4 linked regions of the Sus scrofa genome follow. The protein of the gene in region 4 purifies or fractionates together with the protein of the main gene of each other region. This does not show direct contact. Links are inferred from orthologs where the notes say so. Each region holds a gene or a part of one and is shown on either strand. Other genes may lie near its edges.

Region 1 (7,962 bases), on a different chromosome or scaffold from region 4:
CCCTGTCGGAGCCCAGGCCTCTCGCGGTTCCCTTGACCCTTAGCATTAAAGTCAGGGTGGAGCCGATTTCAGAAAGGGTAACTCTTAAAAACATACTCCAGCTGTGCTAAAGAAGCCGCACATCTTTTGAGACCCGGAAAACCATGGCTGTCTTCCTGAAAAACGCACTGAGTACAGACAGGCCGTGTGTTCTGTGTAACGCATGCCACTGGGGTTGGCAAACTTCATCCTGCGGCCAGCTTCAACCAAGAACCCTCTTCGAGGGCCGGTGCTGCGGGCTGGCCTGGGCCCTCTGGGGTCTCCAAAGAAGTGGCCCCATGAAGAGTGACCCCCTGGCCACTTCTTCCTGGTCCACCAGAGCAGGGCTTCACGGTGGGAAGACGCTAGGTAGAAATGCAACGGCATTTACAAAACAAACTAAGAAAACTGAGCAATGTGCTTAAAAATAATACTCCCAGAAGACTGTTCAACTGCTCACGAGATAACGTATACCCATTAAGGAGGTCTCTTGTGGCACCAGGGGTTAAGGATCCGGCGTTGTCACCGTTGTTTGTGGCTCTGCTTATAACTGTGGTACAGAAGAACTGTAGCTGGCACTGGCCAAACACACACACACACACACACACACACGAGTAATGAAACATTCAACGTGTAACACCAGAAGCTGCTCTGGACCACACACCCACTCAAGGATACAGCACTGGCGTGGTTGATGCCAACGAAAACCGCTACACAGCGCATCACACTGGCCCACTCCCTCTTAAACTTGTGCGGTTCTCCAAGGTGGCTGTCGATGCAGGGGTAGAGCAAGCCCACGACAGCTGTGAAAGAAGGGCAGACAGCAGGGTTAGAGAAACGGCCTCGACGTGGGGTGATGGCTCTGCGGCAATTATTAACACGCTGGTCAGACATTCCTGACTTCAGGGCTACAATATGATATTTCAATTAAAACTAATTTTACATTTTTATCCTTCTTGAGTATAAACAATAAAAATTTAAAACAAAGTTGCAGTTTGGTTTGCCCTATAGCAGGAATGGAGCAGGGGCTACTTAGCACGTGCAGGACCCTGTAGCGCCTGTGCAGTCGGCCTTCGGCCTGCATCGGTGTTGCTCCATCTCAGTGCAGAGGGGCTTCCATGAGGGCCCGGAGGCCACAGCACGGCCTGCCATCGATCACGACCCACACTGATGAGGGCACCTCTCTGTGGATCTGCCTTCACCGCCATCCCCGGAGGCAGCACTGCCCTGTTAGGGGTTCCTGCATTTTCCGCAGGAGCCCCCGAGCACGGGCTGTGGTGGGTCGGGGTCCCGGGGCAGCCACACCCGACGGTCCCAGAGCCCAGGCCCTGAGCGGGGCATCGCGTGGGAAAGGAGGGAACCGGACGCCTCCTGTTTGTTTCCTCAAGCGAAAGATGATGAGGATTATGGACCGAGAAGCCCGAGGAGGGAGCGCGTAGTGTGCTCAGAAGAGTGAGGCTGTCCTCAGCCGTGGGACTTCACAGAGAACTCAGACGGGGGAAGGCGTGGCGCTCCAGAGAGAAGTCGAAGGAAGGAAGAGCAGGAGAGAAGAGGGTGTGGTGCCAGGGCCCTCGTGAGGTCACCCCGCTGCTGAGGCTCATGAGCGTGCAGCACCTGCCGTCCCAGCAAAGACGGAACCATTTCAGGTTCCTGAACAGAGAGGCAGGCAGAAACACACTGTGGCCCAGCATTCAATGGGCAGAAACACACTGTGGCCCAGCATTCAATGAAAGAGTTTCAGTTTCAATTTCATATTACATTTTATCCAGTTCTGCTTTTGCATTTTGAAAAATGAACCCCAACCATTCTGTGACTCAAGTCAGTATAACTTAATCTTGCCCTTTAAGGTTAAAAGCTAAATAAGTGAAAATGTACTATGGAATTTCTCCCCTTATGCCCTTGACGGATGGTTTAAAAAAAAAAGTGAGTAAGGTATGAGAAGTTGTGTTTCAGATATGCCTGGAATTCCTTGAAGCTTCAATTGCAAATCAAGCCTAAACTAAAATGGTTCAGTGGTTTTAAAAATCAAGCTTTTGATTCAAAGAAACTATTGTGCCAAATGTGAATAGAAAGAGATGTTTCTCCAAAAGGATTAAGAGTAGAGCCATGAACTTAAAGGGGTTAGAAAAACAACAGTAGCCAGTGTTTCTGAGAACAAAGAGAAAAACCTTCCACTCTCTGCTTCATCACCATAGTGTCCCCGTCATGAGGCATCCTGCCTAGGACACAAGCTCCACTCCAAGCCCACTGCTTCCTTGCAGTTTGAAGTGAGCCTGCTGAGAAGACGCCCCTCTCCAGGGTGCAGGGGACACACCCAGACTCCAGGGGGCAGTATAGGCAGGGTTGCGAACGGGGACCTGTCACTCCGCTGTGCCCCTGCAGACACAGGAGCTTCACCTCTCTGATTCAGTTCTCGCCTCTGTGCAGTGGCGCTGAAGCAGAGCACTGCTGAAAGGACCAAAGGAAGCACAGCCTACGGAACAGGAGGCAGGGCGCTCGTTCCCTGGTGGCCCGTGGGGCCGACGTGGCGCTTTCACCGCTGCAGCCGGGGTTCAGTCCCTGGTCTGGGAACTGAGACCCCACATCAAGTGGCTACGCACCGCGGCCAAAAAAAGAAGAAAAAAGGAGAAAGATCAGAGCCCGCGAGGTCGGCAGTTCACAGAGGGGAGCTACAACGCGAGGCTGTCCGACGGGAGTGTCTGCTCCGTGCTTTACAGCCAGGCGGGCGGAGGCCACAGAGAGCACCCGGCAGGTGTCCATTCATCCATTAATTCGTCCACAGCAAATGCTGTGTGACCGGAAGAACTGAGTGACCTTCTGAGCCATTTTTATAAAACCAAATAACTGAGCAACCAAATAACTGAGCAACTCTACTCCAAACAGCCAGTCCACCTGTCCACAGCAGACTGCTGCCCCGGGGTCACGACTGGGTCTGGCCAGGGTGGCTCCTGTCCAAACTCTAAACAGAGACTTCCTTTTCCTTCATCCCAGAGCCCAGCGGTGGGGGCAAGGCCAGGCTCTGGCCACGTTCACTGGGCTGTTCCAAAAAAGGAAGAGCAGGAGGCCGCTGGGCTGGGGCAGCAGCTCTGCCCACTGGGCCCACGTGACGGTTTGTTTTCAGTTACCGGGCCGGTAGCGTGTTCCCCGGGGCAGCCAATGGCACTCCAGCCCCGCCGCTCACCAGTCCTGCCCGCGGCCAATCCGGGCAGCTGGTTAGGATGACAGCTGCGGGGCTCCCCCAGCACTGGCCTCAGGGCCGGGTCAGGAAGAGGGAAGGACCTGGCCAGCCTGGCACGAGCGGGCGAGAAGCAGCCAGTGGCCTCCCCGCCATCTCCACCACCGGGCCTCCTCCAGCCTCCAAGCCCCCTCCCCAAACACAGTCGCTGGGATGCACAGTCTCCTCTGTGGATGGTTCCATTTTCACACAAATGGTTCCCACAGGCTGAAAACCGCTTTTCACCAGACAGACGTCGTTTGTTTCTACTCACCAGCGGCCGTCCCACAGCAGGGAGGGACCCACCAGGCTGAGGAGAAGATGGTGGCAATAACCTCCTCGGGGAACAGGGTGACATTCCTCTGGACCTGCAGCAGGTTCAGCACCAGGGCCAGCACGACCCCCACCGAGAACAGCACCAGGCTCCTCTGCAGCAGGTGGTGATGCCAGCTGTTGGTGTGGCCGCTGCCACCATGGCTCCCCATGCCAGTGCTCTGAGGCGCATGAGAGGGGTCAGGGCCCTGGGCACCGTGGGCCACCAGCAGAGAGGGGCCTGACACAGAGGAGCTGATCATCTCCCCCACTTTGGCCTCCTGCCCTCTGGCACTGGCCCTGGGGTGGCCTCTGTGGTTCGTGCCCTTAACACAGGGACAGCTCCAGAGGTGGTCGTCCAGTCTGGGCATCAGCCACACCTGACAGGCTTTCCTAGAAGGAAAACGGGGGTGGGGAGAGGGAATCCCGATCAAGTTCACTTCCAAGGGACAGGGCAGGTTCAGAGAGGCCCAGAGACATGGCTCTGGGCACGTTCACTGGCCAGGAAAACCCCCGAGTCTCAGGGAGTCAGCCGCACAGGGTAGCCCACGGGCAAGTACTGCGGGGGAGGGGCTGCAAGGACCCTGTCCACACCCGGGCCCTGGGTGATGCACAGGCTGCAGCCACAGCCAGGTGTTAGCTACACCTGGGTGATCCCGCTGCAGTACCTCCTTGTATGAGCCCTGAAGTTCTGGGCCGTACAGTCCAAAAGTTTTTCAGAATCCGCCCGTCTGCAGGAGGCAGAGGCCAGCCAGCGGCAGGCCGCCCCAGGACAAGTTGCTGGGGTCGTCCCGGACGGAGAACAGCCCTGGCAGAGCCCACCTGATGTCGGGGATGCAGTCCCCCACCCCGCGGCTGGGGCTGGAGTCAGGGTGCGCACCCAGGCCCGAGGGTGGGTGCTGAGGACCCCAATGGAAGGCCGTCTAGAGGGGCGGCTGCCGGGACCTCGACATCCCCGTCCCCAGGGCTCCCCACCGCTCCCGGCCCAGTTTCCCTTGCCGCACCCTCGTACCTGGCCAAGGGCGCCCGCCCGCGGGCTCGCCGGGGGAGGAGGTCGCCGAGGAGAGTCGCGGCCCAGAACGCCTGGAGTTGAGCCCGCGGCCGTCCACGCGCGGCGCAGCTTATAAGGCGGGCGGTGATACCGCTGCTCACGTGACCCCGGCCGGGCCCGCCACCCCGCCCGCGCTCTCGGGGCGTGGCCCATGCGCGCCCCGCCCCGGCCGCGCGCACGGCCGCTCACGGTCTGGTGAGGCGGCCGCGGCCAATCGTGGGCGGGCGGCCCATATGACGTCATCACACGCCACCGCCGCCCCGAGCTCGGCGCACTGGCTCGGGAGCGCGGACGGCCGGCGGCGGACTGGCTGTTCCCGGCCCGGGACGGGGGCTGGAACTGGGCGCGGCCGGACGGGGCGGGGGCGGGGGCCGCACCGACGGCAGGCAGGGGTCGGCCGAGAGCATCCGGGGCCCCGGGTGGGAGGCGCCCCGCGCAGGTTCCCGGCGGACCGCGGAGAGAGGGCGATTTCCAGGGATTGGCAGCCGCGGGCCTGGAGTCCGGCGGCTGAACAGCTAGGTCGCCGGACCCTCACCCAGGCGTGGCGGTTGGCAAGCCTCTCCCCTGCGGCCGCTCCACTTGGTCACTCTGCAGCCGCCTGTGCCCTGAAGATGCTCTGACCTCTGGTCCTTGTCAGCTCTCTCAGTGGTGGCCGCACCTGCTCATGCAAAGCGGGTTCGTGTGCGCAGCGACCAGCAGGTGCTGGCAGGGAGCGAGGGCTCGGAGACGAGAGCTGTGTATGCTGCGTGCAAGGATCTAGGTGTTGTTAAGGGTGCTTTTATGTTTTTCTGCCACCAGCGTGGTTCAGAAAACTTTTCTGACATAAAATACTTACGAAAATGTAAATGATGAAATCGTCATTCATAAAATCGTTTCTTCTCGTTTCGAATTGTCTTTCAGTGGGAAACAAACCATCAGAACCACTTAGAAAAAATAGAACGCTGTTTTATCTTGTTGATGTAATGTATTTATATCCTGTTTGCCCCATGGTCACACCATCTAAATAGCAGGGCAGGCCCTGTGCCACCTGGAAACCCACATTTTGTTGAGCAAGATACTTAAGATGTCCTGGAAAGACAGTAGAGCAAGTGTGCGGCCTTTTCTCTCTGCAGGTGAGAGGAAGTCTGTGCTCTAATAGGGTCAAGAGAGCTCACAGGCTTAGGCGGTGTCAAGTACTGCATTGTGTGGCATCGTACCTCAGGGTTTGTGGTTTTTATGGCAGAAGGTTGGAAAAAACCTTCCTGAGGTATCAACATTTCTCAGACTTCATTTTTAGGGGCTGATGGGGTGGGAATTCACATGAATTTGTGATGGCCATCAGGAGACTACAAAGAAAAGCCATGCCTGCAGTGGATGGCTCACTCTCCTGGCCCCCAAGGGTGATCCGTTAGGTGACTGGTCAGGCAGCGCTGTGCGAAGACATTTGCCGTGGAGTTCCCTTGTGGCGCAGTGGGTTAAGGATCCGGCGTTGTCACTCCTGTGGCTCAGGTTGCTGCTGTGGCACGGATTTGATCCCTGGCCCGGGATCGTCCACAATGGCAGGGAGTGGCCGAAAAAAAATTTTTAAATTAAAAAAAAAAAAGGCATTTGCCTTTTTAGTGTGTTACTGTTGCCCCAGGATCAGTACTGGTTTCCCTGTCACCTCTGCCTTACCAGCCAAACACACCCTGGTTGTGTAGATGTCCTACCGCTGTCCATGACGCCAGCAGGAATTTAACCCCATCTTTTATGATTCAAGCATGAATTAAAAGTGTCGGGAGTTCCCGTCGTGGCGCAGTGGTTAACGAATCCGACTAGGAACCATGAGGTTGCGGGTTCGGTCCCTGCCCTTGCTCAGTGGGTGAAGGATCCGGCGTTGCCGTGAGCTGTGGTGTAGGTTGCAGACGCGGCTCGGATCCCGCATTGCTGTGGCTCTGGCGTAGGCCAGTGGCTGCAGCTCCGATTCGACCCCTGGCCTGGGAACCTCCATATGCTGCGGGAGCGGCCCAAGAAATAGCAACAACAACAAAAGACTAAAAGACAAAAATAAATAAATAAATAAATAAAAGTGTCGTCTCTGTGGATTATAAGCAGAAATGACTCTCACAAACGATCATGTTCCATCAAGACGGCCTTGGCTAATAATGGGACTTGTTTTCTTTTCTCGAGCGTGACCAGACAAAGCAAGAGTGGCTGGAGAGGGGCCCCCATCCTCTGCTCTGCCTCCGGGTGAGCAGCGCCAGGCTTTCCTCTGTCCCAGTCAGCACCATACGCTTTGTTCAAAGCAATTTTGACGTCAAGGAATCCAGGTCTTGGCCATCATCGCCAATGCATCGTACACAAGTGCGTGAAGATAGGGGTGTGTGTGAACATGCACAGACTGTCACAGTAACATTGGAACTGGGTGGCCGCCAGAACAGAAAAAGCTGCCCAGCTATGGTTAGATAAACGATGATACCTCCATAGAGTGGGGGGCTGTATGGCCAGAGCCATTCCTTCCTCAACCATCAGCCTGTGCTGGGCCTCCCCTGCCCTCCATCGGCCTCAAGTCCTGCACACACGGGCTGAGAGGCCCTGATATGAACCAAGCTGTTAACCTCAAGGACATGCACGTACAGCACGGCCTCACCCCTGAAATGTCGGCGAGTCATGGATCCCACTGGGAAGCACCAGCAAATGCAGGAAGCTTCTCTCTGGCACATGTGCTTTCAGAACCTGGTCTGTTCAGGTACAGGAGGCCAAGTAAGCTGAGATGACCGCTCTTTACTTGGTACCGAGCAGCTGTATGCAGGGATTCCTGACAGCCAGAAAAAGGTGTGTCTGTCTGCTGGGATCTAGAATGGTTTTCTTCACCATTTTTCCTCCTGCCGTTCTGCTTGGCCTTGCTGACTATTCTGATATCTTTCCGTTTTAATCCTCCATGTGCCCAAGTACACGCTTCGTAAAAACACGGGTTCCTGTGCTGTCTGTCTGCTGCGTGGAAAAGGGCTGTCAATTCCGTTGGCTAATTGGTGTGTTAAGGTCTGTATTCACTCAGCCACCTTTTCCTCTTTACTGAAGCCGCTGGTGATACAGCCCAGCCTCTGACTCTCCATCACTTCTCGCATCTGTACTGAGACTTTGTGCACAGCAGCCTCCAGGGGCCACGCACAGGCCCCGTGGACCTGTGGGAAGGTGGGAGGGACGCCTGTGGGCTGCGTTCTGTCGGGTCCCTGCCGAGGGCTGTCTCTATGGCCTCAGCCTCTGTAGCATTTGTCACTGTGTCCCCGGGGTGGTGGTTGGCCTGAGGGTCCTTGGAGTCTGGCCCCGTGGGTGAGGTCCGTTTAGGAGATTGACAGCAGAAGAATTCGCACATTCCTCTCTTGGAGACCACAGGCTCGACGTCAGT
Region 2 (7,179 bases), on a different chromosome or scaffold from region 4:
AACCAACCAACCAAACAAAAAAAAAACCCAAGCCTGATCAAAAACTTATGCTAGAAGGGCACCTGGTGCTTTCGGAGCCAGAAACCGCCAATGTCAAAATGTGGTATTAACCACAGCGGTCTGCACAGGTTCCTGGGAAGATCATTAGGCTTGAGCCTTTTCTAACTAATTCCATCAAACAATTGCCAAGGGCTTTCTTCTACAATTACAGGCCCTTGGTAGGAATGTTGTCTGTTAGACTGCAAATTGCAATTTCCTGAAGAGGACCCAGAGGCAGCCGCATCCAGCCCAACTATCAACCTCCCAAAGTGGTCTTGCCAGGCTCATTACGGGCAAGGGAAGTAATGAGGTGCCTCCAGCAGCTCTAGCTCCACGCCAGCTGCTGCGTGTTCCCGTCCTGGATCTGGCCCTTATTCCTCTCTGATGGGCCCTTTCAGCAAGAACCCATAAAACCGGAGGCTGTCTTCCCACACAGAGTCGGTTTTCTTTTTCTTTATTCCCCAGTACCTGGCTAATTTCACAATATCCTTGTTCCTCTCCAGCCCAGGGCCTCTGCACACCTGGCCTGGGCCTCTGTCTGTGGCCTCTCCTCTAGTAACTCAGGGGAGACGGGAGAGATTCCAGGGGTCAGGGGATTTCAAAAGCTCATTACCTTTGCATCATCCAACAGAGGGCTTCCTGGCTCAGAGTCGATGGAGTAGGGGGAGAAGCCCGCCTGGGACCCTGAGTCAGAGGCCGGAGGTGACATCAGAAGGACATTCTGATTAAAGTCATCAATCTTCAGGTCCACGTCATTGTCCACCAGGCTGCCCAGGTCGATGCCTTTCAAGAGCTCTGCAAAGAAAAGCCCACCTCGCACATGGTCCGCTTTACAACGTCCCACCTGGGCTGGGGCGGGGCTGGGTGAGGGACGCACCACCCCAGCCCCTGCCCCTGCCCCTGCCCCTGCTTCGCCCCTGAGGGCATCTACACATATCGGTGAGAAGTCCCCCGTGCCCAGCACAGGACTCGGCCCACAACCAGAAGATCTGAAACCCTTTTCTCAACGAGCACACTCACTGTTCTTCTGATTTGCCAGCTTCAGCACCATGTTCTCCTGGCGCAGTTTATGATTGACCTGCTGCAAATACTTGATGTAGTCAATGGCCTTCCTCAAAACACCAGACTTGTGCATCTGGGAAGGGAGATGGGTGAAAAACACAGCAGCATCAGATCAGCCTGCAGTGAGGAGAGCAGAGGCCCTGAGCTCAGGTTCTGGAGTGGGAGGTGCAGGGTTCAGGTTCTCACTTTTAACTGTGCAACCCAGGACAAGTTACTCAATGTCTCTGAGCCTCACTTTCTTTCTTTTTTTTTTGACTTTTTTTTGCCTTTTCTAGGGCCGCTCCTGAGGCATATGGAGGTTCCCAGGCTAGGGGTGGAATTGGAGCTGTAGCCACTGGCCTACGCCAGAGCCACAGCAACGTGGGATCTGAGCCGCGTCTGTGACCTACACCACAGCTCACGGCAATGCTGGATCCTTAACCCACTGAGCAAGGCTAGGGACTGAACCCGCAACCTCATGGTTCCTAGTCGGATTTGTTAACCACTGCGTCATGATGGAAACTCCCTGAGCCTCACTTTCCTTCTCCATAAAAGAGTGATAATGACAGTTTTTGAGTCATAGGCTTGCCGTGAGGCTTAAATGAAATAATATGTGTAAAGAGCTTAGACTCTGGCCTAGCACACAGTAACACTAAATATTAGCTCTTACTCCCACTTCTTATAATAATTCTAGCATCAAAACAAACTTTAAGGAAAACAAATGGCAAGCAAAAGACCAGAGCACTGCTGGATGGTTAAGTAAAGGTATATTAGTACCTTTCAGATTTGCAGGCTAAAAGGAAAATTACATTTTCTTGCAAAATAGAGGTAAAAATAAACAGATAATAGGAAAAAAAACTCCTATGTGCCAAAGCCAAAAGATATATTCAGTGCAACACCAGAAAGGTATGAAAAACCAATCTACTCTACCTGCTCTTGGCCATTTTGTCTCTTCCCTTAAGGTTAAAATATTGCGAGCCATCCCTGAATACAATCAAACACATGTCAAAAATGCCATTAGCTGACTCAAAGGTACACTCGGCCGGGTACTTGGCCTTCGGTGAGCAGCCGGTGTCTGTGACCATCACTGCAGAGCAGAGTCAAAGGTCCAGGCAGGCCACTGCTTTACCAGCTCCCCGACGGTTAATATTTAATCATCTTGGAATTTAAGACACAGAGATGCGTTAATAAGAAAGCACCTCTAACTTTCTTGCCTTCACTCAGCTTGGGCCTGGCTCTTCCCTGAATTCCCGCAGCAAAGACGGGAGAGATGATGGGCACAAACGCCATTCTGCTTGGCACCTACCTTGGCATCTGTTCCCATGACCAGGTCCTTCAACTCAATGATTTTGTCATTGATGGAGGAGCGGTACCGCTTCTCAATGATGTTGTGTGTCGTCCGCCTTTCTCCTTCTTTGGGGGGCTCGAGCTGCTTGACCCCCCCAGGCACCTGCTTAATGGGCACTTTCTCTTGCCCCATCATCACAGGCATTGTGGTCAGAATGGTCCCATTGCTGCCCACCAGGGTCTAGAACAGACACAGATGCAGAGCAGAGGGACTGCTTGGTGAGTCTGAGGAAAGCGACCTCGAAACACAAACCTGCTGGCCTCGGCCACGTGGCACCACCTGAAGATGCGCTGTGTGGTCTGACTGCCTTCCTGGGTTAAATCAGGTTCAGGAGCCTTAGGAGCCACCGTACCTCAGGTGCTCTGCCCCTTTCCAAATCACTGCTGATTAATCACAGGCCACACTAGCATTAGCACAGATAAATGCTAACCTTTTCTTTTCTGTTTTTGAGTAAATGCTGACCTTTGAGGTAGGGGCGTCTGAATCACGTCATATGCTTTGCTGTCACGCTGTTACCACCCCGCGTTCGCACGTGGCGCACCAACCACATCACTGGCCCTAAGGAAAGCTTTCTCCTGGTGTAGGACACATTTTTCCTCTCTCATGCCGGAGAAGTAACTTACTGCATTTCCTCATACAATTCGACCATCAAAAGCTCAAGGGCAGAACTGACAATCAAGAGAGGCTTTTTATTAAACAGACTACAGAGGGAGGGATCCCCCTCAAACCTGCTTTCCCACTCTTTGTTCCTATTTTCATTAATTTTAATTTTATTTTTGCTTTTTAGGGCCGTACTTGCGGCATGTGGAAATTCCCAGGCTAGGGGTTGAATCGGAGCTGCAGCTGCCGGCCTGCACCACAGCCACAGCAACGCCAGATCCTTAACCCACTGAGCAAGGCCAGGGTTCGAACCCACATCCTCACGGGCACTATGTCAGGTTTTCAACCTGCTGAGCCCCAAAGGGAACTCCAAAAGGGATGATTTTTCAATCTGACTCTAGAGCTTCTGCATCTATTCAGCATCTGGAGATTTCGTTAACATCTCTGAGGCCTAACACCCCCAAGAAAGGGGGTGGGGGCATCTCTTACCGGTACTTGAAGGGCAGCCGTCTGGATGGGGGTGGTGAGGGCAGTGAGGGCTGGGTTCTGGACTGCAGCCATGACAGGGCTGCCATCTGTCTTCAGTGTGGTCAAAACAAGGGAATCGGTTTTGATGATCTGAGGCTGCACCAGGACCTGGAAGCCAAAGGAAGAAAAGGAAAAGGAAGGTAGCATGATTTTTCTGTCTTGTATTACTTCTTTTTCTTTTTGTCTTTTTAGGGCCGCACCTACTGCATACGGAGGTTCCCAGGCTAGGGAGCTAATCGGAGCTGCAGCTGCCAGCCTATACCACAGCCACAGGAATGCCAGATCCGAGCCGCATCTGCGACCTACACCACAGCTCAGGGCAATGCTGGATCTTTAACCCACTGGGTGAGGCAGGGGTTGAACCCACAACCTCATGGTTCCTAGTCGGATTCGTTTCCCCTGCGCCAAGATGGGAACTCCTCTACCTCGTATTACTTCTTACTACATGGACCCTCTAGGAAAGAATGATAGAAGTTTTATAAAACTGAGAAGACAGATTAATTCCTAGGTGGAGGGGGAGAACGAGTACCATTAAAGAGGATTCTGGGTCCTAAGGCTAAAGGCTGAGGAGAGCAGAGCCAGTGGCCCAGCAGCAGGGAGAGAGCAGGCAGGGCTTGGGGTGGATGGCGGAGGGAGAGAGCCGATTTCAGGCAACTTAGGAATGCTTAGAAACATGGCTGAGAAGCAAAAATGGTAAACCTCAATTTTTGTTGTTGTTGTGCTTTTTAGGGCCACACCCATGGCACATGGAAGTTCCCAGGCTAGGAGTTGAATCAGAGCTGTAGCTGTCAGTCTATACCACAGCCACAGCAACTGGAGATCTGAGCTGCATCTGCAACCTACACTGCAGCTCATGGCAACACCGGATCCTTAACCCACTGAGTGAAGCCAGGGATCGAAGCTGCATCCTCATAGACGCTAGTCTGCCAAATCACAATGGAAACTCAATTTTTTTAAGAAAAGGTAAATTACTTCCTTAGTAAGAAACAATCTAGGAGTTCCCGTTGTGGCACAGTGGTTAACAAATCCGATTAGGAACCATGAGGTTGTGGGTTCGATCCCTGGCCTTGCTCAGTGGGTTAAGGATCCAGCATTGCTGTGAGCTGTGGTGTAGGTGGCAGACGCGGCTCAGATCCCACGTTGCTGTGGCTCTGGCATAGGCCAGTGGCTACAGCTCTGATTCGACCCCTAGCCTGGGAACATCCATATGCCGTGGGAGTGGCTTAAGAAAAGGCAAAAAGAAAAAAAAAAGAAACAGTCTATGGAGTTCCCACTGTGGCTCAGGGGATTAAGGATGCAACATTGTCTTTGTGAGGATGTGGGTTCAATCCCTGGCCTCGCTCAGTGGGTTAAAGATCTGGCATTGCCACAAGCTGTGGTGCAGGTCACAGATGAAGCTCTGATTCAACCCCTAGCCTGGGAACTTCCATATGCTGCAGGTGTGGCTGTAAAAAGAAAAAAAAAAAAGGAAAAGAAAGAGAAAAAAGAAAAAGAGAAAAGGAAGGAAGGAAGGGAGAAAGGCAGTCTGCTATAGTACAGACTTAAAGATATTCTGGCACACTTCTTTCCAGTTTTGTTTTTTTTCTCTTTTGGCTGTGGCATGTGGTAGCTTGACATGGGATTTCAGTTCCCAGACCGGGGACTGAACCTGGGCAACAGTATTGACAGCACCCAGTCCTAACCACCAGAGCAGCAGCACTCCCTCTTCCCAGGTTAAAAGCCCTTGTACGTGTAGCGCGTACACCAGCAGGCACCGAGTTTGTGGGAGTGCCAGTGCTCACCGACAGACGCGACCTGCCTGGGGCTCAGGGGTGCCTCGCTAAGGTTCAGGCACCTCTACCTGCCCTACAAGCTGCTCCCTTACACTCTGCTGGCCTCAGCACACAGACCAAACCAAAGACCAGCCCACAGCCCCAACTGGGGCCACCCTGACTCCCTGTCAGCCACCTACCGGGACCTGCTGCACCTGGGGCGCAGCAACTGTCTGCACCGTGGCCGGGGCGAGGGTCTGCAGCGTGCCGCTGGCCGTCTGCGTCAGCACCCGCTGCGCCTGCACGGTCTGCACCTGCTGCTGGATGGTGACCGGCTGCACCTGGGAGGACGTCACCAGGCTTTGGACTTGAGGCTGAAGGACTTGGGAGAAGAGGAGCAAAAAGTTACTTGGACGAGGACTGCACTCTGTGACTGTGGCTGCAGCACGAGCTGAGGACGGAGGGCCTCACGCTGCCGCACCTTCCCACCTACTGCGCAGGAAGATGTGCACAGCCATCTACAAGTTGGTTAGGGGGCACGAACACCCCATGAGGGCTGCATCAACTTCCAAGAGAACAGTACAAATGATTTTACTGCTCTGGGTGCTGGGCTGGAGGTGAGGGAGGCTCATCGGCAAATGACTGCACCCGGCAAGGGAGTGAACAGACTCTGGGAAGGAACCAACACCTCCCTGGGGCTTCATTTCCTCCCAGGCAACGAACAGCAAGCGTGCTTTGGGATGACTGACTCTGCCTTTTGCTTTTTGCCTCCCCAGCCCTTAAATTCCCTGAAGCCCACAGAAGAACTGTTAGAGCCTCTGGAATTAGTGGAGCAACAGTAATCCCACCCAGGGCTCCCCACGGGGTTGGAGGGAAATGTGATGAAAGGTGCTGGGACACAGCACAGCACCCAGAGTCACTCATTCACCAGTGCACACCAAGGGCCCACTGTGAGGCCAGCGACACAGAGACACGGCGCCTCGGTTAAGAAGCATAGTCTTCTCCATACTGGATGCTCAGGAGATGCTTGCTGGATGAGTGGTTCTCAACCCACTGGTGCTGAGATGTGCCTGGTGCCTGGGTAAGTTTCAAGACTAATTGATTTAAGCCTCCACCTCGAGTTACCAGGACGGCCCTGGGTCTACTGTGCCTGCTGGAGTCTTTGACCAAGTATCCTTGAAGCAGGCACAGCAGACATCTAAGCTGTTTGAAAAGGCTGAATGTGAACTGTTCTGGCACCACTCGTCTTACTGCCAGTTACCAAAGCCTCATTCAGACGGGACCAAACTGACAGATCCTGCCAGCCCCAAGGGGAAAGAACGCTACAGTCTGCCTCGCGAGTGTCTGCACGCTGGCATGTAAGCTTCTGAACCAACCAAGCACTCCCGTGTGGAGTTCGGAGTCACCTTGGAAGCTGGTAGCTGCATTCTGGTATATCAAAGGCTGCTGGATGATCCTCGTCTGGGGAGCGGTGCTGAAGGTCGGGGTGATCATGACTGTCTGCTGCTGCAGCTGAGCAGGAGGCTGGGGCTGGGGCTGGGGGCGGGGCTGGAGAACAGGGGTCGCCCTGGGCGGCGTGGGAACCGAAGTGGGGGGAGCCTTGACTTGGAGGGCTGGAGCCTGGGGGGAGGTGGTCGAGGGAGAGAAGGAAGGTAACGGGACCTGGCTGAAGGACCGCTGCATTGAGGGGTCCCCGGCTCCGCCACCACTGCTCCCGCCACTGCTGCTGCCGCCACTGCTGCTGCCACTTCCACTGCCGCCCGGGAAGGAGCTGCACAGCTGCTCTGAGAACAAGTCGGGGAACTCTCCCACTTGATTGCTGACAAACTGCAGCATCTCTGTGAACAAATGGAAAGGAATACTTTCATTGCC
Region 3 (7,823 bases), on a different chromosome or scaffold from region 4:
CCCTGGGGCCCCACAGGGCTCTGTCTGCGAAACGCGAGGCAGGACGTGCCCGGGCCTGAGCCAGCCCCGTGGCTCAGAGGACACTGCCAGATGACGGGGAGGGGCGACCTGCGGGGCCTGACCTGGCTGTCCTCAAAAACCGGGCTGTCGGGCTCTGAGTCACTGCCACTGCCACCGCTGCTGCTGCCCCTGCTGCCGAGGGACAAGGGGCTGCTCTGGGAGGGCGAGCCGGCGTCGGAGGGGGGCGGGCTAAGGGTGTCTACCACCTCCGGCTTCACACCCTCCATGGGCACGTCGGTGCGGCCTCCGCTGCTGCAGGACACCAGGTCCTTCAGAGACTCTGCAGGCCAGAAAGGAGCAGGGCTGGGCGGCAGCGCCACGCCCACCTCGCCCCAGATCTGAGCGGAGGGCCAGGCGAAGGCCAAGGAAGGGGTTAAGGGCCCTGGCAGGGCCAGAGCCTAAGGTGAGACCAGGGTGGGGACAGGGCTGCAGGCGGGGCCAGAGAGGCCAGGACTCACTGCTTTTGTGGGCAGCAGTCCGCAGACTCAGGTTCTCCTGCTTGAGCTTCTGGTTGCTCTGCTGAAGGAAGCGGATGTAGTCGATGGCCTTGCGCAAGACGGCGGATTTATTCAGCTGCAGGGGTAGGAGGGGGACAGCACAGGTGGCTGGTCAGGCCAGACAAGCGGGCACCTGAGCCAGAGGGAGCGGGGCTGCTCCGCAACACAGCGGCCTCAGGACCTTTGCACCTGCTATTCCTTCTGCACGGAAGGTTCCTGCCCTGGTAGAACCTACCTGCCAGGCTGGGCCTAAGGGTTGACAGCAGCGTCTGACTAACTGTCGTCACTGTCATCACCACCTTCATGCCTCGCTCCCGAGCCCCCTTCAGACCACGACACCGTCGTGAGGCCCCCCCGACCCCGATTCAGATGTGAAACTCCCACCATCCCTCTTCCTGCTTCGTTCTTTCTGGCACAGCACTCAGGCCATCTGTCCTCTTTGCTGGCGCCCCTGGCACGCTGCTAGGAGCACAGGTGCTTGACAGCGGGGTGCCTGTCTGTTCCTGCTGAGTCCCCAGCGCCTAGGAGAGCCCGCAGCACACGCGCCTCCATGAAGCTTAGCTCAACAGACGGAGCCCCTGGGCCCTGGCTGTCCAGGCTCAGCCCCACCCGCCTCTGCCTTCCAGGCGGCCCTCCCCAGGGCCGCCCTGCCAGGGCCTCTGCCCGCACCTTCGCCTCCGTGCCCACCACCAGGTCCTTGAGCTCGATGATCTTGTCATTGATGGAGGAGCGGTAGCGTTTCTCGATGGCATTGTGAGCCGTCCGCTTCTCACCACGGCTCTGGCCTGAGCTCAGGGCTTTGCCCCCAGCTGCCAGGCGGTTGATGGGCAGCTTGTCAGTGTCCACTACCAGAGGCACCGTCGCCAGGATGGTCCCGCCGCTCACCAGGGTCTGCGGGCCCAGGCACGGTTAGGGCAGGCAGGCATGCATGCAGACCCCATGCCCCCTGCCTGGCCCGAGCTGCCCACCTGCAAAGGTGCTGCCTGCACGGCTGTGCCAGGGGCCAGGGAGCCGATGCCCGCCGCCTTCACAGGGGTCCCCATGTCTGTTTTCATGGTCGTCAGGAGCAGGGAGTCCGCCTTGATGAAGTGGGGCTGCAGCAGGACCTAAGGAAGGCAGAGGGCTCAGCTGGGGGCTCAGGGGCTGGCCGGGACTGCCACCTCCCTGGTGCCTGGCCAGCCCCCTCACCGGGACCTGCTGGATCTGCGAGGTCACAGTGGTTGTTCCAGGGGACACCACGGGGGTGGCCGTGGCTGTCAACAGCTGCTGGGGGGCCGCACTTTGGACCTGGGTGTGCACGGAGACGGGCGGGACCCCGGGCAGAGAGGCCAGCGGCAGGCCAGGCAGCGTCTGTGAGGTGCTCCCTGGAGGGGTCGCTGCAGAGACAAAGGCTGGGGCTGTGGACACAGGCCGCCCTGACCCACCTTCAACCCGCCCCGTCCTGCCCCGTCCTCATCACCGTGTGACCCTGGATGAGTCACCACCCCTGTGGCCTCAGGCCTATCTGGACAGGCCCTGCCTGGGGCTCTGATGCAAGTGTGCTGGCTTCCCAGCCACGCATTTATCTGCGCAAGGGCAGCGCTGCTGCGGACACCAGGGGAGCAGGGGCAGTGCGCCGGCAACAGGAGCCCGGGTGCTGCTAGGGACGGGGGCGCCTCAAGCAGCAGAGCAGGGACCCTGTTCCCAAAGGCCACCAAGTGGGACCTCCAGTCAGACCACAGCAGCCCCCTGACCCTGTGCTCCGCTGCCCCCTCCCTCCACACGCCCCCTTACCTGAGGAGAAGCTTCCAGGAGGGCTGGGGTAGCCCAACACGGGGGCAGGGCTCAACTGCGGAGGGGCGGGGGCTGGAAGGCTCTGGGGCAGGAGAGCCCCAGACAGGGGCTGTGGGGTGGGGGGCTGCAGGATGGTCAGTGGCACTGGCTCCTCCTTGATGCCCGGCCCAGGCGAGAAGGCAGGCACCGACGGGTACATCTTCAGCGGGGTGGGTGCAGGCTGGGTTGGGGACACGGGGGGCGGTGGCGGCGTCCTGGCCCCCCCCAGGAAGCCTTCAAGCGGGGAGCTCATGGTGGAAGGAGGCGGCGTCGGGCTGCCTGGGGAGCTGGCATCAGGACTGGTGGGGTCCGTGCCTCCTGCAACGCCAGCGTAGGGCGCGTCGAACAGGCCGGGGAAGTCGCTGTCTTGGTTGTTGATGAGCTGAAGCATGTCTGAGGGGAGGAGAGGCGGCGTCACGGATCTGCGCGGCCCTCGTCCACACCGTGGTAACACGTGGGAGCGACGCCACCAAGACAGAAAGCCACACACGGGCGCCCATGCTCGAGGACACAGATGTGCCCTGGCCCCTGTGACATCTGGAGCTTTGCCTGGTGCATCAAACAGCCTTGCGACACTGGACGAGCCAGTGCCACGCAGGCTAGGCCCTCCGAGGCCTGGGCCCCGACTACCAGCTCCAGAGCTGCCTCCCCAACCCAGCCCTCTGGGGAGCCCCAGCCAGCCCCTGCCCCGCGTGCGCCAGCCAGTGCATCCCTGCGTGTTCTGGGCACAAGCCCAAGCCCCGTCTGCAGCCAGGCAGCCTCGGAACCGGCCATTTGGGCTTCGGCTTCCGCTCCACAGAAGCAGTCGCTTCTGGCTGTCTGTTCCCCTTCCTCCTCGTGCCGCCTGGGACACCCTCCCTCCCACAGCCCCAGCCCGGCCACGGGCCCTCTCCCCCAGAAGGCAAGTAGCAGCCCGGCTGGGTCAGCCCAGGGCCCTTTAACCCACTGGGGGAGCCACCCACTGGGTCGGAGTGCTCTGCAGGCCCATGAGCAAACTGTGGGAACCCCAAGTGTGATCCCCAGCCTGAGCTTCCAGCTCTGCCCACCACCGACGGGCGGTGGGGTGTGGGCCAGTGGCTTCTGCCCCTGGGCCTCGGTTTCCTCATGTGCACAACAGCAAGATGAAAGCCCTTGTGGCAGGGCAGCCAGAGGTTCCGCAGGCAGGCAGCCAGCGGCAGGAGAGGGGCCTCGACACTGCCTGACAGGTGCTCCGGCGGGAAAGTGACTGCGCAGGGGGCCTTGCGACACCTCCGGCAGAGCAGGGCAGGGGGGTGCCAGGCTGAGCCCTCCTGGGCCCTCGGAGACCCCTTAGCCTACTGGCACAGGCTGCTTCCACCGGCTGGAGCCCCTCGCCCAGGCTTCCTGAGCCCCTTCCACGGATGGGGAAACTGAGGCCCAGAAAGAACAAGCGCCCGAACCCAGGGCTCCACTGTCCGTCCGGCAAGCCCACCATACGCCCCCAAAGGGGGGCCCGAGCGGCCCTTCTCCCTGGGCGGCAGGGGATGTGGGAGAGCTGCCCTCTCGCTTCGGAGCTTGGGGTGGGGGTGACTGCGGAGGTGGGAAGGGCCCGCCAGGTCCCCGGAGAGCCGGGAGCGGGTGCTCCTCCCCTCAGGAGCGGGCTCTCACTCGGAGCTCCGGCCGCCCCCCTGCGCACGGGGGCACGGACCCCACGGCGGAGACGGAAGCTCTGCTATAAAGGGGTGGGGGTCCTCAAAAAATACCTTCGAACGTGCAGTCCATGGTTCCGCGGCCCGCGCCCGCCGCCCCTCGGGGCGTCCAGGCGGCTGGCCCGCCGGTCTCCGCGCGCGGACTCCACCGGCCGAGGGCCGCCGGCCCGCCGCGCTTTAAAGCAGCGAAAGCCCCGAGCGCCCGCCGCCGGCCACGCCCCTCGCCGGCCCCGCCCGGGCCCCGCCCCGCCGGCCGGCCCCGCCCCGGGGCCGCGGGCCGGGCATGGGGTGAGCGCGCGCGGCCAATCAGCGGCCGCGCCACCGCCTCCCGGGGCCCCGCCCCGGCCCCGCCCCACCCCCACCGCGCGGTTCGGGTTGCGCCCCGCGGGGCCGCAGAGGGCCGGGGTTACTCGCGGACGCCGGCCCTTAACCCGCCCCGCGCCGACGTCCGCAGGGTTACTGGCGGTCACGTCCCGCCATCTCCGAGAGTGCGGCCGAAGGGGCTGCGGGGGCTGAGAGGCGCGGGGCCGGGGGTGGGCCAGGGATGGCCCAGCCCTCCGCCGCGGGTCTCAACCGCGCTAAGTCGCAGTGCGCTCCGGGAAAATGGGACGAGCACGTTTCCCTGCATCGACGGGGACAAGTAATGGGTGCAGGCTCAAGTGAGGCGAAGGGCTGTCTGGCCGTGGGGGCGGGGACCTCCCCCTCACGGCAGCCCCAGCGTGAGTCCCCACCCCGTGGGCCGGGGCCGGGCCACTGCCTGGAGCCTGAGCGAGTGCGGAAGGGACAGCCCCACCGCAAGTGCACAGCCAGAGCTGACGCCCTCTGCAGAGGGGCCAGGGTCTGGGGTGGGGGTCCGGGAAGGCGAACCCACCCCCACACTCCCCAGCAGTCTCAGGGGGGAGCCTGACTCACTCGCTGTGGGGTGGGGCAGGCCTTGGGGCGGAGGGTGACAGGCTCGGGGTCGCTGGGGGGCCACCTGGGCCTCTCTCGGCTTCGAAGGTCAGAGCGCCACACACTCAGAGGGACAGAGCCTGGCCAGCAGCCCAGGCTGCCAGCTTGGGCTTTTGCGGCCAAACAGACCCCAGGGCTCAAGCCGGCCTCCAGCCACAGCTGGGCCCAGCCCTGCTCCCTCTCCTGGTCTCCCGCAGCCTTAGAGGGGCCGATGGAGCCGACGGTGGCAGGTGGGGGCCGGTGGCAGGTGGGGGCCGGAGAGCCCTGGCCGGATGCTCTCCCTCTCCAGGAGGCTGCCTCTCCCACACACACGCTCCCCCTTTGCCCGGCTCCTGCCGTGGCCACGGCCGTGCGGGAGGGTAACGAGGGCAGCAGAATTCTCCAGCACCTCCACTTCCCTCTCTCCTCTGCCAGGCCCTCACCCGAAAAGTCACACAAGACATTGCTGTTGGGAAGGCTCTGACCTCGCCTGACTGAGACCAGAAGACACGAGGTCTGAATTCAAACTCACGGCAGGTCCTGTCCTCACTGTGCTCCCGTGTGTGAGCCCAGGACCTGGCAGGTGGACCAGCAGGGCCGTGGCCGGCCGCCCCACCGGAGCCACCTTCCTCTGCCCTTCTCCGCACTCTTGTGCTTCCCATTTCTCACCTGGCCATGCCCTGCCCCAACGCATCCAGACCAAGGAGGCAGAAGGAGAGGCTCCCAGCGGCCCTGCCGCCACCTCCTGGGGCCCACCCCAGGCAGGCCGGGAGACACAACCTAAGCTAAGATGCAGTGAGGAACAGGCACCTGGTGGCATGCAGAGGGCCACCCCTGAACTCATGGCCCGACTGGACTTCCCACCCCCGTGACACACACACATAGAGCCAATTTCTGCAGCAGCCGGGTGCCAGGGCCAAGAGGGGCTGGACCTGCGCCCCAGCCCTCCCTTGCTGTGTAGTCCCAGGGGAGTCCCTCACCCCTGATCTCGGAGGAGGGGGTTCTGGGAGGCGAGAAAGGCGCCCAGGGCACACTGTTTAAGGAAGCTCCCCGCTGTCTCACCCCAGTTCCCGGGAGAAAGGCTGGCCAGGGTTCCCCCCAAGTGGGGCCCAACCTCCAGTGAGCCCAGGCTCAGCTGCCGGCAGGAGGGGCGGCCCGCGTGCCCTTAACGCAGGGAAGAGAGGCACAGGTGGGCCCGCCTGCCCCCCTCCTCACCTTCCCGCCCTCCCCAAGCCAGACCCTCCTTTTCCTCTCCTTCCTCCTCTCCTGCCCGGATTCCATCAGGACCCAACAGGAAACCTGAGCCCCCTCCCGCCCTCCCTGGCTCTACCTTCAAACCTCCCTCTAAAGGCCTGTTTATTCTGGGAGCGCCATGCTGCAAATCCTGGGAACACCCCACACCACGAGCCTGCACGAGTCCTGCTCTGACCATCACAGGAGCCCATGGCCCATCCAACCTGCATGAGACCCTGAACCCCAAACTGTGCTTACATGCCTCCTGGGACAGGGAGCTCACCACCTTCCCCACATGACCTGGTCCATGAAGCCCAGATCTGTTTCACTGACAATATCGACTGTCAATTCCGAAGCGTCTACTGCATGTCCAGCCTGTGCTGAGCCCTGGGGTACAGGGACACAGCCTGAAGACCTCCCTTGTGGGCCTTTTACGTTCTAGCAAAGGGACACCGACAGTCTGCAGATACATGGAAGAGTGGAGGCACAGGTGCTGCCGAGCACCGTGGGGAAACCGAGGCAGTCAGGGCAGGCCTCTCTGAAGAGGGGACATCTGAGTAGAGACAGCAAGTGCACAGGCCCTGAGGTGGGAGGAGGCCAGTGTGGCTTCCACCCGTGGCTGTCTGTCGCTAGGGCCAAGCACACCATTTCTCAGGGATCCGCAAGCGGGTCTCCACGTCCGCGGAGCTGTGAAGACATGTGAGGGAATGAAGCAGCCGCCCCTCTGCAGCTCTGCCCGCTGGAGGGAGGGCGCGGGCAGGGAAGGAAGCAGGGCTGCACCTGCTGGCCAGCCATCCCCGCAGTGCCTCCTCGAGCCCCCAAGGACCGGGTCGGCAGGTTCGCATGTCCTCAGCTGGTCATGTGGCAAGGGGCACAGGCTGCGCTTTGTGTGCGCAGGGCTGCCCAGGGGTACGAGTGCACCTGCTCTTCCTGGAACAGGATGGCCCCAGGCTGGCGCCCCGGACGCACCTGGGCAGGATGAGGGCACCAAGGCTCCGAGGGAGGCTGCAAGGCCCAGGTCCCTTAGCAATCAGGTGGAGGACCTGGGACTCGACCCAGGCCTGCCAGCCCCCCAGCCCACACCCCTCGGCCCCAACACCAGCACGGCTCTGCCCCAACTCGCGGCCACCACTCAGGCAAGCACAAAGCTCTAAGGCTCGGCCCCAGCACCTCCTCCTCTCGGAGGCCCTCCTAACCACCATGACAAGAGCCCCCCAGCGACCCCCCAATCCCTCAACACAGGGCTGAGCATAGGGGACCAGACCGCGGGCTGTGCGGACAGCCAGCACCATGCCCGACGGCATCGGCCAGCCACGTCCGTCGAGCCTCGCTTCCGCTGTCTGCTTTCAGAACGCTGCGGCACCGAAGGCCCCCGTGTGTCCACCCCCGCTGTCCCCTTTCCCAGGAAGGCCCTTCCCACTACCCTCTGTCCCCCTGCAAACGCCTGTTCCTCTCTCAGAACTTGCTCCCCTGTCACCTTCTCGCTTTCTTCCCTTTTGCCACTGTACACACCGGCCAAGGGACCCTGAACGTGGCCCTTAGACAAAACGCTGGCCAGCACCAGCTCCAGCGGCTTTCCTAGGTGTGGGCTCGGGGCACACACGCAAGCCGCTGCTGGCTGAAA
Region 4 (7,774 bases):
CCTACTCTGGTTCCCTGCTATCCCACTCCCTTCCACTCACAGCACTTGGAAGCACAGAGGCAGAAGTTCAGGGGCTTTGGGGTTGGTCAGATCGACGTTTGATGCTGCCACTGCATGAATTCAACAATTTGTTAAAGCTCTGGGTTCTTTAGAGTTTGCATCCTTGAAATGGAGTGTATCTTACCTGCCTCTAAAGGCCATCATAAGGATTACGCAAGGTAATATGTTGTAAAGCCCATCTCTGGCAAGGAGCCAACATTCAACAGTTTGTTGTTATTATTGGCTGCTATTATGACCTCTGTAATACTCCTTGTCATATTTGCCTCTATGGTTTTGTTTAAAGGTATGTGCTAATTTAACTTTGGTAGTGCAGAGAATAAATGTACATCCCTGGTTTCTGACACATGGTAGGAAATTGACAGCTAATAAAGGCAACATGGAGATTTTACTTTTTTTTTTTGGAGATTTTACATATTTTTATTGACTATCATGTTTATTAGAACAGTTGCTGCTTATTGGAATCTAAGCATTTTACATGTGTTCAGACTGATTTAATTGTTTGTGTTTGTTTTGTCTTTTTGCTATTTCTTTGGGCCGCTCCCACGGCATATGGAGGTTCCCAGGCTAGGGGTCAAATCGGAGCTGTAGCCACCGGCCTACGCCAGAGCCACAGCAACGCAGGATCCGAGCCGCGTCTGCACCACAGTTCACGGCAACGCCGGATCGTTAACCCACTGAGCAAGGGCAGGGACCGAACCCGCAACCTCATGGTTCCTAGTCGGATTCGTTAACCACTGCGCCACAACGGGAACTCCTGATTTAATTGTTTTGAAAACCAGAGAGGTCAGCTTCCTTGGTTGTTGCATCTTGGGACCTAACTCTTATGTCCAGTTTCCCTGAGGTTAAGTTAATTTTCCTGGCCACGAAGCAGCTTCTGCCGTGTGTCAGAACCAGAATTCAAATAGAGGGAATCTGAAGCAGCCCTTTCCACTTTAATCACGTTGTGAGCTTCTATTACTAATGCTTAATTCATGAGGAGCATGATCATTAGTGCAAGCGGTTGCGAAGACAGAGCTCTATCTTCATGAATCACCCTTCCCTGTGTCCCTGACAGGCTGAGGTAGCTGAGCAGTGGGCTGGAACCCAGAGTCCTGTGGCTGCCTGCTTGGTCACTTATCAGCGTGACCTCGGGCAAATATTCTCCCTTCTTTTTTGTCTTTTCTAAGGCCACACCTGCAGCATATGGAGGTTCTGAGGCTAGGGGTCTTATTGGAGCTTTAGGCACCTGCCTACACCACAGCTCATGGCAACACCAGATCCTTTACCCACTGAGCAAGGCCAGGGATTGAATCGGCAACCTCATGGTTTCTAGTCGGATTCGTTAACCACTGAGCCACAACAGGAACTCCCGAATATTCTCCCCTCTTAAGGAAGTTTTCTTTATTTGTAAAATAGACCCAGCCCCTATTTTTCAAGAATGTCATGAGGTTTGGCCCAGCATGGAATCTATGTACTGGGAATTATCCCTTCTGGATGATCCCTAAACTTCATTTATTCTTTTGCTTTTTTTTTCTTTTTAGGGCCACACCTGCAGCATATTGGAGGTTCCTAAGCTAGGTGTCTAATTGGAGCTACAGCTGCTGGCCTACACCACAGCCACAGCAATGCGGGATCCGAGCTGCGTCTGAAACCTACGCCACAGCTCACGGCAATGCCAGATCCTTAACACACTGAGCAAAGCCGGGGATTGAACCTGTGTCCCCATGATTCCTAGTCAGGTTTGTTAACCACTGAACCACGAAGGGAACTCCTAAACTTCATTTAGTTTTTTTTTTTTTTTTAATTTTGAATTTACCATGGGGAGCAACACAAAGTAAGGTTGAGCTTTGGCTAGATAGAGCTAAATGGAGCTCGTGGACAAAAAAAAAAAAAAAAAATTGCCTACCATTTCACTATTTTAAATAAGCAATGAATGTGGCCCATTGTCAAGCCATCAGTCACTGCAGCCATACACTTCCCATCAACGGTGCATCCTGAGGGGAATTCAGGATAGAGAAAAACAGGGTACTGGCCCTAGATATTAAAATGCATATCAGGAGTTCCCGTCGTGGCGCAGTGGTTAACGAATCCAACTAGGAACCATGAGGTTGCGGGTTGGGTCCCTGCCCTTGCTCAGTGGGTTAACGATCCGGCGTTGCCGTGAGCTGTGGTGTAAGTTGCAGACGCGGCTCGGATCCTGCGTTGCTGTGGCTCTGGCGTAGGCCGGTGGCTACAGCTCCGATTTGACTCCTAGCCTGGGAACCTCCATATGCCGCGGGAGCCGCCCAAAGAAATAGCAAAAAGACAAAAAAAAAAAGAAAAGAAAAATGGGTATCATGTGTTGTTTTTTTTTTTTCTTTTTAGGGCCACACCTATGGTACATGGAAGTTCCCAGGCTAGGGGTTGAATCCGAGCTGCAGTTGTCGGCCTATGCCACAGCCACAGCAATGCAGGATCTGAGCTGTGTTTGAGACCTCCACAGCAGCTCGCAGCAACCCTGGATCCTTAACCCACTAAGTGACGCCAGGGATCAAACCTGTATCTCCATAGATACTAGTCGGGTTCACAACCCACTGAGCCACAAGAGGAACTTCTCACGCACATGTTCTTGCTAATTCCCAGTAATGTGGTTAAAACTCTGGTGCTGTGCTCAGGTCTGTCCACCTCGCCCCGCCCCGCTCGCCGACCCTGCCCCGCCCCTCTCCCTCGGGTCAACTGGCCGATGTCCACCTGGGGGCGAGCGAGAGCCGCCGGCGAGGACTGGACTACGCATGCGCGCGCCGCTGGGCGCACGTGCGAAGAGCGGCGGGGGCGGGAGGGGAAAGGTAGGAGGTGAGAGGTGAAGGGGCGGAGAGCTGCGCGGGCACTGGGCCTCTGGGAGAGAGAGGGCGGGCGCCACGCACCGGACCGCGCGGGCTGGGAGCGCGCACGCCGTGTCCCGCCCCCGTCCTCGCCGTCGCCGCTGCAGCCGCCCGGGAGCTGTTTCCGCCACAGGTACCGCTGCGCGCGTCCACACGGCTTCTGTCCGCGGGCCGGGGCTCGGGCCTTTGGCGCGCGGCTCCAGGAGTTCCGGGATAGGGGCCGCCTGGGGCACCGGCGAGCGGGCGTGGGCGCTGTCCAGCAGCCATGCGGGCCAGGCCGGGAGACCGCAGCCTGGAGAGGGTGCCGAGTTACCGCGTCCCCACCCCCACCCCGACCGCGCCCCCCGTCGGGGCCAGCCGCGCGCCCACAGACCTCACCCTGGAACCCCAGACCGCTGTTCGAGAGGAGGTCGCGCCGTTGTGCCCCCTGGCCCCGCGGTCCCCCGGGAAGCTGCGGGTTCTAGAACCTCCTTTAATGTCTGGTTTTCCCAGAGTTCGAGGACGCTGTCCGCTCTTGTTTTTTCCTGCAAGATCTAATCAAGAGGCAACGCACAGCTTCTTTGCTGGGTTTTGCTTGGCTTCTAGTTTTCTGTATTGCTTATACCTAAACATTGCTCAGTGATGTTGCCTGTGTTTAGGTGGTTTTATTTCTTCAGTATGTCATCCAGGCTTGTAACGTCAGGATAAAATTAGTTGCAGGGAGCCCTGGATCCAGACTGTTTAAACTGCAGGTCGTTGTACAGGCGAAAATGCTCTTGGCCGAGGGGAGCAGAGAATCCCTTCCTGGCAAGAGTTTTCTGTTTTGTGCCACCTACTCCCCCACCCGTGGTGACAGAGCTGTGGGACTAAACTCCTTCTGGGGATTTTGTAATAATTTTTGTGAAGAGGACATGGAAAAGATTTCATTAATGATGCTAACTTTGGATTTCTCACCACATGTTTGTGGAGTTTGGTTGTGCGGTGTCCTTATTGGTGTGCTGCCGTTTCAGAGTATTGTGCTAAAAATGGAAGCTTTTATAAGGTAGTCAAGGTCAAGGGTGTCTATTTGGCTGTATGTTTTAGGTGTTACTGAATAATGCCTAATTGACCACTTGTTGTAGTAGTAGTACTAGTACTAGTACTACTAGTAGTATTGACCCCACTCACTTCATGTGAAAGTTCCCAGGCCAAGGATGGAACCTCTGCTCTGGTTGTGACCTGCACCACAGCTGTGAGAATGCTGGATCCTTAGCCCACTGTGCCACTCAGGAACTCCACACCTGTATCTTTTCTTTTCTTTTTTTAAATTTTTTTGTCTTTTTAGGGCCGTACCCTTGGTATATGGCAATTCCCAGGCCAGGGGTGGAATCAGAGCTACATCTGTCTGCCTAGGCCACAGCCACAGCAACACAGGATCTGCGACCTACACCACAGCTCACAGCATCACTGGATCCTTAATCCACTGAGCAAGGCCAGGGATGTAATGCATGTCCCCATGGAAACTAGTTGGGGTCGTTACCACTGAGCCACGACGGGAACTCCCCACCTGTATGTTGATAGAGTTTAAGTTGTAGGTATTTTATACATTTGCAGCATCCCCCCGGGCACATGATGTAAAAAACACAAGATATATATGAATTTATCTCTACATTCAATTTTTTGGTCATTTATTGAAATGCAAAAGATTATTTCTCACTTATTGTGAATTAGTCTGGTGTTTGAGAGCTTTCTGTTTTCTTTTTGCTGTTGTGGCAAAAACAACACCTCTCCATTGTTCTCCATGTGCTTTATAATCACTGGTTTTGGGGCCTCCTCTGCCATCATCTGGATTAGTTCACTGTTGAGAGGTGGGTATAAAAAAATCTCCTAGTTAATGACTAGAAAATGGAGGCATAAAGATTGTGAGTTGCTTAAGGTGATCTATGAACAAGTAAACTGTCCAGTTGGGAAATGAGCTGTACCTGTGAGTTTTGGTACACATTTCATTTATTAGCATTTGGTGATAGACTGCAGGGATGCTTACTTTGAATGTGTCCCAAGGACCCTGGCCTGACACTTAGGTTTATGTGATCTTTGTTAACCCTCACCATTGGTGGCCATTTGCTGGCCACCAGTGTTAGTTTTACTGGATTTGACAGGTACTTCCATGTACAGTTTGTGTCACCACTCCCATCGAACAGATGAGACTGCTCCCCTGCATAGAGAAACTGAGTTGCCATGGTCACCCAGGTTGTCTTTGGGGGTCAGACTTTCAAGCCAGGTCTGCGGGACTCTACCACCTAGCTACTTCTGCTGTTACTTGCTTCCTTCCTGAGTTGGATAAAGTCCAGGTGACTTTTGCCACCTGAAGGAATAATTCTGGGTAAAATATTTATTGAGCACTTGTGTTGTCTAGATTTCATGCTAGGTGCTCTAATAAGTTTATCTCACTTAATCATCATAATAGCCAGGGGAGATGACACTGTTATCATCAGTGCTTTTACTGATTAGTTCTGGAGATGTTATCTGACCAGCCCTGGGTCACGTAGTGAGTTAGAGGCAGAGGCCAGGTACAAACCCAGGTTTGTCTAACAATAGACTCCGTGTTTTATGCTGTTCTTGCACCTGCTGGTCCGCAGTCTTCTCCATTGTCTTCCACGTTAAAGGTAGCAGAAGAGGGTGTTGGGGTGAAGGGAGGAACTCAGTGTCACAGACTTGAGAAAGAGATAATGAAACTCAGCAGGAAGGAGACATTAATTTGACTATTGGGTGTTCCCATTGTGGCTTAGTGGGTTAAAAATCCAACTAGTATCCATGAGGATGCAGGTTTGATCCCTGGCGGGTTAAGGATCTCACCCACAATCTGTGGTATAGGTCTCAAATGCAGCTCGGATCCTGCATTGCTGTGGCTCTGGTGTAGGCCAGCAGCTGTAGCTCCAGTTTGACCCTTAGCCTGGGAACTTGCTGATGCCGAGAGTACGGCCTTAAATTTTTTTTATAAAAAAGTCAAAGAAAAATTTCGCTGTTGTCTTTGACATTGTCCACTTGACTGGTCAGGGGTACTACCTGAAAATGCTTGTGGGGTTGCTGGGTTATGCAGCTTTGCAGGAGAGTCCAAAGAGGGGGTATGCCTAAGCATCAGGGTGCACGTGGGTCTCAGGAGAAAAAAGAGAACAAAAAACAGTCTGTTTATTTTTATTTTATTCTTTATTTTTAGGACCACACTCGTGGCATATTAAAGTTTCCAGGCTAGGGGTCAAATCCGAGCTGCTGCTGCCGGCTTACGCCACAGCAACGCCAGATCTGAGCCGCATCTGTGACCTATACCACAGCTTGTGGCAACATCAGATCCTTAACCCACTGAGTGAGGCCAGGGATCTAACCTGCATCCTCATGGATTCTAGTTGGGTTCTTAACTCACTGAGCCACAGTAGGAACTCTCAGTCTTTGTTTTTAATTTATCATTATTGAAATTTTGTTATGGGAGTTCCCATTGTGGCTCAGTAGTAACAAACCCGATTAGTATCCATGGGGATGTGGATTCGATCCCTGACCTTGCTCAGTGGGTTAAGGATCGGGCAGTGCCACAAACTGTTGACATAGGTCACAGAAGCAGATCAGAATCTGCATTGCTGTGCTTGTGGCATAGGCTGGCAGGGGCAGCTCCGATTTGACCCCTAGCCTGGGAACCTCCATATGCCAAAGGTGCAGACCTAAATACAAAACAAAACAAAGCAAATTTAGTATGTATTTTTCTTTTTTTTTCTTTCTTTTTTTTTTTAGGGCCTCACCCACAGGCTAGGGGTCTAATTGGAGCTACAACTGCTGGCCTATGCCACAGCCACAGCAACGCCAGATGCGAGCCATGTCTGCAGCCCGTACCACAGCTCATGGCAACGCCAGATCCTTAACCCACTGAGTGAGGCCAGGGATTGAACCTGCAACCTCATGGTTCCCAGTCGGATTTGTTTCCACTGTGCCATGATGTGAACTCCTATTATGTATTTTATAATGTACACTTCATATTAGCATGGTAATGCTATAAATATAAATGTATTTATTTAATATAATACACATACACTTATAATATAATATAAATATTTATATTTAAATATGCGTACATTGAGGACATATGCTTGAATTTTCATTGTTTGGGGTTCATAATCAAAAACATTAAGAATGACTGGGTTATTTGATATTTAGCATTTTCTCTTTTTTCTTTTTTTGCTGCTTCATGGCATATGGAGTTTCAGGGACAGGGATCAAATCCTAGCCACAGTTGCAACCTATACCACAGCTGCAGCAACACAGCATGTGGAGGCTCCTAGGCTAGAGGTTGAATTGGAGCTACAGCCAACAGCCTACGCTGCAGCTACAGCAACTTCGGATCCTTAATCTACTGAGCAAGGCCTGGGATCGAACCCACATTCTCATGGATACTAGTCGGGTTCAGTAAGCAAGGAGCCACGACAGGAAGTCTACAACGCCAGATCCTATAACCTGCTATGCAGGTCCAGGGATTAACCCTGCATCCTGGCGCTGCAGAGATGTTCTGATCCTGTAGTGCCACAGCAGAAACTCCAACATTTAGTATTTTCTGAATATATATAAGGTGTGCTAACCCTTTGTTTCTGAGTTGGAGGTCTAGTGAAGTTCATTGTAACTCTCCATGATCAGAGAAAGGTTATTTTGTGTTAACAACCAGTCGTAGATTACTTTAAAAATTGGAGTCTGAGTGTGAAAGAGAATCTGGTATTTCAGTAGTCTTTGTCTCAAATGTATTACCTGCCTTAAGTTTGAAGCTATAGTGACTGATATAGCTGTTTAGAAGTTAGTTTTTTTGTTCCACTTCTGTTTTTAATATGTTAATTCAGTCTGAAGTGAGAAAGACTAATCAGTTTATGCAAACATGGCAG

What was found.
Region 1: the proteins of SCAP (region 4) and INSIG1 purify together in Homo sapiens (affinity purification with western blotting; 11 studies listed by BioGRID and IntAct, with this or other methods). This does not show direct contact. The link is inferred for Sus scrofa from reciprocal best matches to the Homo sapiens genes SCAP and INSIG1.
Region 2: the proteins of SCAP (region 4) and SREBF2 purify together in Homo sapiens (affinity purification with western blotting; 3 studies listed by BioGRID and IntAct, with this or other methods). This does not show direct contact. The link is inferred for Sus scrofa from reciprocal best matches to the Homo sapiens genes SCAP and SREBF2.
Region 3: the proteins of SCAP (region 4) and SREBF1 purify together in Homo sapiens (affinity purification with western blotting; 4 studies listed by BioGRID and IntAct, with this or other methods). This does not show direct contact. The link is inferred for Sus scrofa from reciprocal best matches to the Homo sapiens genes SCAP and SREBF1.

Annotation. Positions count from the first base shown.
Region 1 is NC_010460.4:2,894,127-2,902,088, forward strand, and holds the start of INSIG1 (insulin-induced gene 1 protein), read right to left. Parts: upstream 4,633-7,962; 5' UTR 4,557-4,632; intron 3,938-4,556; 5' UTR 3,916-3,937; coding exon 3,507-3,915; intron 822-3,506; coding exon 697-821; intron 1-696. UniProt on the Homo sapiens protein: Oxysterol-binding protein that mediates feedback control of cholesterol synthesis by controlling both endoplasmic reticulum to Golgi transport of SCAP and degradation of HMGCR.
Region 2 is NC_010447.5:6,751,286-6,758,464, forward strand, and holds part of SREBF2 (sterol regulatory element-binding protein 2), read right to left. Parts: intron 7,146-7,179; coding exon 6,714-7,145; intron 5,690-6,713; coding exon 5,508-5,689; intron 3,665-5,507; coding exon 3,518-3,664; intron 2,609-3,517; coding exon 2,387-2,608; intron 1,175-2,386; coding exon 1,060-1,174; intron 835-1,059; coding exon 653-834; intron 1-652.
Region 3 is NC_010454.4:60,737,707-60,745,529, reverse strand, and holds the start of SREBF1 (sterol regulatory element-binding protein 1), read right to left. Parts: upstream 4,219-7,823; 5' UTR 4,110-4,218; coding exon 4,091-4,109; intron 2,763-4,090; coding exon 2,331-2,762; intron 1,934-2,330; coding exon 1,746-1,933; intron 1,664-1,745; coding exon 1,526-1,663; intron 1,449-1,525; coding exon 1,227-1,448; intron 634-1,226; coding exon 519-633; intron 341-518; coding exon 123-340; intron 1-122.
Region 4 is NC_010455.5:30,315,634-30,323,407, reverse strand, and holds the start of SCAP (sterol regulatory element-binding protein cleavage-activating protein), read left to right. Parts: upstream 1-2,863; 5' UTR 2,864-3,033; intron 3,034-7,774. UniProt on the Homo sapiens protein: Escort protein required for cholesterol as well as lipid homeostasis.